Ovis aries: one gene and its partner. The protein of the gene in region 2 binds, or shares a complex with, the protein of the main gene of each other region. Links are inferred from orthologs where the notes say so. Each region holds a gene or a part of one and is shown on either strand. Other genes may lie near its edges. The genes, in order: ING5 and MEAF6.

The links.
Region 1: MEAF6 (region 2) and ING5 share a complex: the UniProt entries of both Homo sapiens proteins name them as parts of the HBO1 complex. The link is inferred for Ovis aries from reciprocal best matches to the Homo sapiens genes MEAF6 and ING5.

What each region holds. Positions count from the first base shown.
Region 1 is NC_056054.1:251,966-256,504, forward strand, and holds the start of ING5 (inhibitor of growth protein 5), read right to left. Parts: upstream 3,071-4,539; 5' UTR 3,042-3,070; coding exon 3,005-3,041; intron 2,752-3,004; exon of another isoform or gene 2,183-2,751; intron 896-2,182; coding exon 824-895; intron 1-823. UniProt on the Homo sapiens protein: Component of the HBO1 complex, which specifically mediates acetylation of histone H3 at 'Lys-14' (H3K14ac) and, to a lower extent, acetylation of histone H4. Component of the MOZ/MORF complex which has a histone H3 acetyltransferase activity.
Region 2 is NC_056054.1:12,323,971-12,327,774, forward strand, and holds part of MEAF6 (chromatin modification-related protein MEAF6), read right to left. Parts: intron 2,849-3,804; coding exon 2,514-2,848; 3' UTR 1-2,513.

The DNA of each region.
Region 1 (4,539 bases), about 12 Mb from region 2:
CATTATTCACCCTCCCCTCTACCCTTTAAGGCTCCCCTGAAACAAAGGGCAAATCAAGACGCGGCACGCTTAACAGCCTAGCAAACAGGGCCCCACACGGAAGAGCAGCCGCGGGAGAGGGAGGCCTGGGGTGTGCACGGCAGGCCAGCTGGCGCGCTCCGGCGGCCCCCGCGGAGGGCACACAGAGGGCTGGCAGGTGCCTGGCGCCGCGCACCAGGGAGCATGGAAGACAAACCAACCAGCAGAGCAGTGAGAGACGCCGAGAGGAAGTCAGGCCAAGCAGGCCACATGCGCACAGCAGGCGGCCAGCTACCGACACAGGGGCCCTGACGGACACGACATCAGGACAGTGTGAACTCTGGCCCACAACACCCAGGAGATGGCGGGAAGGAGCTGTGTGCACATGAGCTGGCTGGGCGCAACCAAAGACGTCAGTCTTCACTTTCTGAAATAACTGAACAGCTAAAGTCTAAAACCAAAAGGAAATAAAGAAATGCAGCAAAAACGAGGTGCTCAGAAATAAGGAGTTAACACCAAAAGACCCAAAAGCAGGGTGTAAACTACACACAGAGTGTGAAAAGGGAAAATCTTTTAAAGAGAAGCTAACAAATACTTTAACTGCAAGGAGGGGATGAGGGTCATAAAGACGAAACGCAGGAGCACCAGGCACTCAGTTTGATTGCACAGACTTGGCACTCTGAGACGTCACCCCATGCCCGCAGCACCTCTGCCCCAGGTACCTGGAAGCGCAGCACCACCCCCAGGGTCCTGCCTTGGGGAGCTGCTCTCCCCACCCTGGCTGCACTGAAAGGCCTGCACCCACCTTCTGTCCTCTGGTCCAGCTCTCGCATCAGCTGGAAGTTCCTCTGAAGCTCACAGGGAAGGTTCTCGATACCTGAAACAGACACAGCAGGACAAAAGCTCACCTTTCCAGCCTCACAGCTCAAGGCCACAAGGGGTAAGCCCACTCTAGCTTCTGTTTGCTAGGGTTTGGAAACAAGAAGAATCAGGGTATCTTTTCCCAGCGACGTGCTCTAAACACTGAACACACCCTGGTACAAGCTGACGTGTTTGAGCACTTGTCAGAAACTCAAGAAGTTAGATTCAAACAGAGGACAGAGGGTGCCCATGCGCCTCTCCCACCCCAGACCCCAGGCCACTCCTCCCTTGCAGACACCCCGTCACAGCGAACCAGCCCAAACCCCAGGGTCCTCCTCCAACTCTACTCTGAACTTGGGGCATGGGGAAGTACCAACCGGGGCTGTGTGGGGGAACGTGATGCAAAGATGGAGCTGCCCAACACAGAGGCACTGGCCACGTGTTCTGGGCTACTTGAGCACCTGAAATGGGGCCAGTACCACAGACGGACTGAGTTTCCCATTTTATGAGAGTTTATTTAAAATTAAACAGACCAGGAAGGACAGCACAGGGAGGACCCTGCACCACACTGGTCTCCTGTCCCCACTGCCAGGCTCCTGGTCTGGGCCAAGCCCGGCCCCTGCCTGCAGCCAGGATGGGCCCCTCTCATCAAACAAAGCTGGTGCTTAAGCCCCATGGCGCCCTGGCTCAGCAGACACCGAGCGGACCCCTCAGAGCCTCTCTGTGGGACCCCGCCCCCCCGGGGTTCCTACTGCAGCAGTACCCCTGCACTCTGAGACATGCTAGACTCCTTCATGACCTTTAAACTCCTGTGTCCCATCTGAGAGCATGTCCCAGGAAAATTCCTGGTGCACAGCAGGTGCTTAGGGAGTGAGCAGGGGCTTCTGTCCCCAAGCCTTCACACGGGTGCCCGCAAAGGCCAGGATCATATTCCTCGGACTCTCCTCCTGGGCCCCACCAGGCAAGCACCAGGAAAGAGGACAAGCCACAGTGCCCCCCCTACAGGCACCTGGGTGCTCTCCCACCCAGGACCTGTGCTCAGGCTGGGCCAGGACTAGGTGATCCCCTGCGGATCACCACAGTCTTCCCCAGAGCAGAGGTTCAATCCCTACTCTCAACACCCTCAGGTGAGGGTCTGGGGGCTGTGATCCCCAGTACAGCACAGTGCTCTAGAGCCACGGGGCCCAACACCCACCAGCCCCACCCTCCCCAGGCCATGCCCCAGCGGAGGCCAGACAGGAGTCAGGACGAAGGACTCCCACGCGGGATCGCCGCTCTCCAGCAAGAGACCTTAACAAGCTACCTGGCTTCTGCAGGCGGCATCACCTGCTCTGTGAAATGTGGAGGAAAAAAGCCACCCGCTCAGGAGTTCTGCAGAGAGGGCAACATGTGCAATGCGTCGGGACATCTGGCCACGACGATGACCCCTGCCTTGAACACCCTAACCCCGGCCAGTAAGTAGCGCCCCCAGCCCCTGGGCTCGGACCGGTACCCTCAGTGACCCTCTGCGCCTGCATGCCTCGCAAATGCATGAAATGAGGCCTGGAACTGAGGCACAAGCTAAGTCACATCACAAGCAGGCACAGAACACCGAACTCCGAGGCCCTGGGCCCCCCAAACCCGACCCAGAGTCCCAGGCGATTGGGACTCAACCATCTTGGTGGGCCAGTCCCGCCCCCAAGGCGGGGCGGGGCTCGGAGGGGCGGGGCCTGACCAGAGGGGGCGGGTCCGACAGGGAAGAGAGCGGAGCCCAGCCGATAAGGGGCGGGGCCCCGCCCAGGAGGCCGTGTTCAAGGGCGGGGAGGGCGGGGCCTGCAGGAAGGTGGGCGTGGTCGCCTGGAAGGCGGCGCCGGCCGCGCGGGCCCCGCCCCTTGGCGCCGGCCCCGCCCCGCCGTGACGCACCTGGAATTGGCGCGGCCGTGCCGGCGGGGCCCGCGCCGCCCGCCCCGCGCCCCTCCCTCGCCGCCCCGCCCGCCCCGCGCGCCCCCGCCGCCCCCGCCGCCGCCCGGCCACCCCGCCGCCCCCGCGTGCCCCGGGGCCCGCGCGCGGAGCCCGGCGCTCGGGGAAGCGCGGCAGGGGCGGCGGGGCGCGGGCGGCGGGCTGGGGCGGCGCGCGGGGCGCTTACTGTCCAGGTAGTGCTCCAAGTACATGGCGGTCGCCATCTTCGTCCGCGGCCGCGCTCCGGGTCTGCGCGGGCGGCGGCGCCGCGAGGGCCGGGGGCGGGGCCGGCTAGTCACTATTAATGAGCCGCGCGCGCTGATTGGGCGCCGGCCGGGCGGGGCCCCCGCCTCGGCTTCCGGCCGGGCCGCGCGCGACCTCGCGCGGGGGCTGGGCGGGCTGGGCGGCCCTGGCGGGCGGGCGGGCCTGGTGCTCGGCCGGGGGGCCTGGTGCTCGGCCGGGGGGCCCGGGAGCGCGCCTAGCGCCTGGGGGGGGGCGACTTCCGGGGCGGGGGCCGGCGTGCTAAACCCCAGGCAGACATGTAAAAGGGGGAACGCGTTCACTGTTTTGCCAGCTTTACCTGCGTTATACAAACTCAGGCTGTACGGAGATGTACAGCTCCCCCACTCCCGGAGGCGCGGGCCTGCGATCGTCTTGCTCACCCTTCGATCCAAGTGATACCAATGTCTGTGCAACCACCCCCGCTCCATTTAATGCTTGGTGTGAGAATCACGCACACTCCAGTGCACTGTTGCACACCACCCCTGTTTTATTGTTTCGAGTAGATAAGTGTTCTTATTAATAGAATTTATTTTTAGAGCAGTTTTTGGCTCTCAGAAAAATTGACAAAAAAAATACAAGAGTTCTTATATACCCCTTCCACGCATACACAGTTTTCCTTATGAACATTTTCCATGGCTGGTGCACATTTATTACAATAGATGAAACAGTATTGATACATTATTATTAAGGTTTCCCTGCTAGCTCTGGTAAAGAACCCACCTGCCAACGCAGAAGACCCGCTTCGATCCCTGGGCCGAGAAGATCCCCTGCAGAAGGAAACGGCAACTCACTCCAGTATTCTTGCCATGGGATGACCCATGGACCAGAGGAGGCTGGCGGGTTCCACTACGTAGGGTCACAAAGGAGTCGGACGCAACTTAGCGACTAAACGACAAAAGGAAGTCACGTTCACATTAGGGTTCATTCTGTGCTGTGCATTTATGTCAAGCGGCACCCATTGCAGTATCAAGCGTAATAGTTGCTCTGCCCTAAGAATCAGCTGCTTCTGCCCTCTCCCTCCGGGGGAGCCCCTGGCGAACGCTAACCCCGCCCCTGCCTCCAGTTCTGCCTTCCTCAGAATGCCATGTGGTTGAAGTCAAAGAATGTGAGCCCCTTCAGATTAGCTTCTTCCACCTAGTAGGTGCATTCCAAGTCTCCTCCATTCCTTTTCCTGGCCGGACAGCGTTTTTTTTAATTCATCTGACTGCGTCAAGCATCGCAGCCCTCAGAGTCTTCACTGCATCACGTGGGGTCTGTCCTTGGGCGGCACAGACTCTGGTTGTGTCTCTTGGGCTCGGTAGTTGCAGGAAGCAGACTTTGTTGTTCCACAGCAGGTGGGATCTTAGTTCCCTGACCAGGGGTTGAACCCAGATCCCTTGTATTGCAAGGCAGATTGTCAACCATTGGACCAAAAGGGAAGTCCTGCTCATCTCTTCTTAA
Region 2 (3,804 bases):
GAAAAGCATACAGTGAGTGTACACACCAGGAACTGTCAGAAATTTAACTTTCAGTCTAACTTTGATCAGAAACTAAAGAAGTAGACTGTACCTACTTAATGAAAACTTCATAAACTACCTAGAATTCTAGAGCTTGGTATAGTAGTAAAAACCTGTCAGAGCAGCTATAGGTTGTAATTTCAACTTTCTTCTTTAAACACACTGGGATTTACTGTTCTGATATCATGTAAAGCATAAGAATTTAGAATCCTGTGATCAATTTATGAATGCTAAAGATTATTTGATAGATTTTCATTTTCTTGAAAAGATCAAATAAAAGTTATTTCTTTTGCTAAGGTACCTATTTATTTCCACTTAGTTTACTCATCACTAAACAATGCCTTGCACATGGTGGGTATTCATACCTTTATTGAAATAATTTACCATTGACTTTTATCTGATGATATGGAGTGTGAAACACTGGAGGAGAAACAATACTGTACTGGAGCAAAATCACAAACATGTGTAGACAAAGTGTTCCCCCTACCCCCACCCCCCCAGTCTGCAGGACCAACTAAGACACTGGTCAGGGATGAGGGGTTTGGGCCAGACACAATTCCACACTAAAGATGGCAGGAATCTGAGAAAGTGTGCTAAACGTGTTTTCTCCAGAAAGAAGGGAAATCAATTCCATTCTCTTCCCTTGGGGCAGATGAGTCGTCCCTAAGGCCCACAGAGAAATCCAGCCAGATACTAAACCAGGGGGATGACAAAAGGATTCTGCTTTCCAAACAAAAAGCCCCCCTGTGAAGGCAATAACTACCACCAAAGATCTTTTTAAATCCTAGTATTTTTCTGGAAGGAGTTAGCTTCTAAGGCCAGGAGAAGAAAGGCAGGAAAAGCTGTTCCTATGGAAATCTACTAGCAATCTGTAAGGAGAAAGTTAAGTTCAATGTCTAATTCCTTTTCATCAGCTGTTTGTATCATTAAGGAAAATAAGGTATAACCTGAAATACACAACAGCTACAGAGAGTCTGTCATACCAGGAATGGAAAAAAAAAAATGTCCCAGAAACTTTCAAGGAATTTATCCCCCCCTCTAGATACTCTGGAATAGGAAAATAAATTATTATATTTAAAATTACCCTGGAGTAAACTTTAAAAAAGCAACACAGAGCATAACCTTTTTATCTTGACAATTAAAAAAAATACTTTAAAGAGTATGGTTCTCTGCTATTCATGATAAACTGGCATCAGTCTTATCATAGTAATCAAATAACCTGTAGCCTTACTTAAGCAAAAAAAAGGGGAGACAAAGAGATGCAATTTTTGCTCTCTCTTACTATGCTTATAAGACTGGCCTGGTGATTTTTGGTTTGCAGAAAAATATTAAGTTGCAGTCCTCAGTCACTCTCTGGAGTATATACTGCTCCTGCATCTAAAAACCACCACCACCAATGACAAGAAAAACTCTTAAAAGAATTAAAGAATCAGTTGATGCCAAGGAGGCTTAAACCTGTTACCAGTTAATTCTATATTATCCCTGCTTGCCACATCCATCAAGCTAACAACTGTAATGCCCTGGGTGCAAGAGGGCATGTTCTACAGGAGAGCACAGCCCAGAGGCAAACTGAAAGACAGGGGACCCCACCCATTCCTTGCACACCCCCTTCCATCTCCTCAGCATGCAGGCTCCTAAGAGGAGCAGGACAAAAGCCAGCCTGTTGGATGTCTGGTTTTCATACCTCCCAGAAGGTTTGAGGCCAGGACAAGATTCCTTCCTGGAAAAACTAAGAATTTCCCTCTCTGAGTGCAACTGGACGGCTTTAAATTACCTAAGCTAAGAGGCCCCGGCACTATCATACAAACCCTAAGCAGAGTGAACGCTGAAATCCTGTCTGGGTAACACCTAACCTCTCTGTCCACTGTGTGTTTCCTAGCTCATTAGGCACTACAAAAAAACACAGTGAACAAACATTATCTAGGAAGGTGCTCTTGTAAATTACAGCCTTTATATTGTTCCTCTGACACTCAAATCAGCAATTTGTGAAGATATATAGAGAAATCATAAGCAATCACAAACCTTGTATTCAAAAAGTAAAAAGGCACATCAGCTCATTCTCTCCATTCTCCAGGGAATAAGGGTAGGCAGGGATCAGGACTAGGAGGCAAAAGGCTTAGCCCATTCTGCAGCTTCCCAACAGGTTTCCCAGGTGGCGCTAGTGGTAAAGAACCTGTCTACCAATGCAGGAGACATAAGAGACACAGGTTCAAGCCCTGGGTCAGGAAGATCCCCTGGAGGAGGAAATGGCATCCCACTCCAGTATTCTCGCCTGGAGCATTCCATGGACAGAGCAGCCTGGCAGGCTACAGTCCATGGGGTTGCAAAGAGTTGGACACGACTGAGTGACTTTCACTTTTCACACTGGAAGCAGTAAGCAGGATGTCTGCCCCCACAGTTACTCTAATGCCCAGCAACTCCTTCCTTAGAGAAAAACTAGCCTGCTTCATTCAGACCAAATGAGTTTCTTCCCATCAGCAACAGAAAGACCACACCAATCCTGAAGAACGTTTATTCCAGTACAGACCCTTCACGGCCATGGTCAGTGGAAGCTCTAAGTGGCTGGGGACAGGGCAGACGTGCAGGGCTTGGGGAAGTGTGGTCCCTGCCACTGACCTGTGCCGGTTTTTATTCTTTCGCTTTTTATGGCTGCTGTGATGACTCCCTGTGGAGGTAGAAGAAGCAGCCTTCTGAGGTTTCACTCCCTGCACAGATCCATCCAGATCCTCGGGGTCCTCCTGGTTGGGCTCGTTTTCCTGATTGTGGAAGTCTGGAGAAGTGTCACTTTCCGTCCCACTTCCTGGCTCCCCTGGAGTGAGGAAACACAAGGCCCCAAAGCATCATCAGTACTCCTCAGGCAGTCTGTCCATCAGTCTGGAAAAGAATTTTCAAGCACTGAAACACACGGTACTACCCTCAAGGACCACATATTCCAGCTGACAGGAAGACACATCTAGTCAAAGCATCAAAGTTACCAGAGTGCTGAAAACCTTGTAATCTGAAACAGTGTAACCAGAGGCGACAGGTCTAAGGACAGCCGAGAGACTGGACCACACAAGACAGCCTTGCTACTGCAGGGGCTATTGAAACACAGAATACACTAATGGGATTAACAGTTACACAAGAAGCATTATCAAAAACATTATATAAGTCTTCAGGAGGTGAGAGATGACCTTGGGAAAAGATCCTACAGCTGGCTCTGGTTCCTTGCCAAACTACACAGGAATCTTGACTTTCCATCAAGAAAAAGGGCCAAGGAAGAGAAGAGCTCCACCACCTAAGTTACTCTGAGAAGCCTTAAGAATATTATTTTAAAAGTGGTAATAATACCTTTCAGTTGACACATATTCCAGATTTTAAAATATCCCTCAGATACATTAAATAAGTAAATTTAACAAGAATTTGTATAAATAGATGTTTTTAAGAAAAACTACACATAGTTTGGTAAAGGTACACTTTTTCTTCCTGAAAGGAATTCTCTGAAACTCTTAATATAAAAGGATGGGGGAGGAGAAGACTATCACTTTACTGAACTGATGAAGAATCCCAAATATGTGTACATTACCTGTTTCTAAAAATTTTCAAAAGGAGTTAGGTGAACAGCAGAACCAAGGATTAACTTTCTTCCTGTTATGTCTTTGTAATATAAACTTCTAGGAAGAGATTTCAAATTGAGTAGCACAAGGATATTAGAGCTGAAACAAAGAGGTAGTCCCCAAAAGAGCAGAAAGGAGAAAATAGAAGCAGTTCTCAGCAGTGACAGAT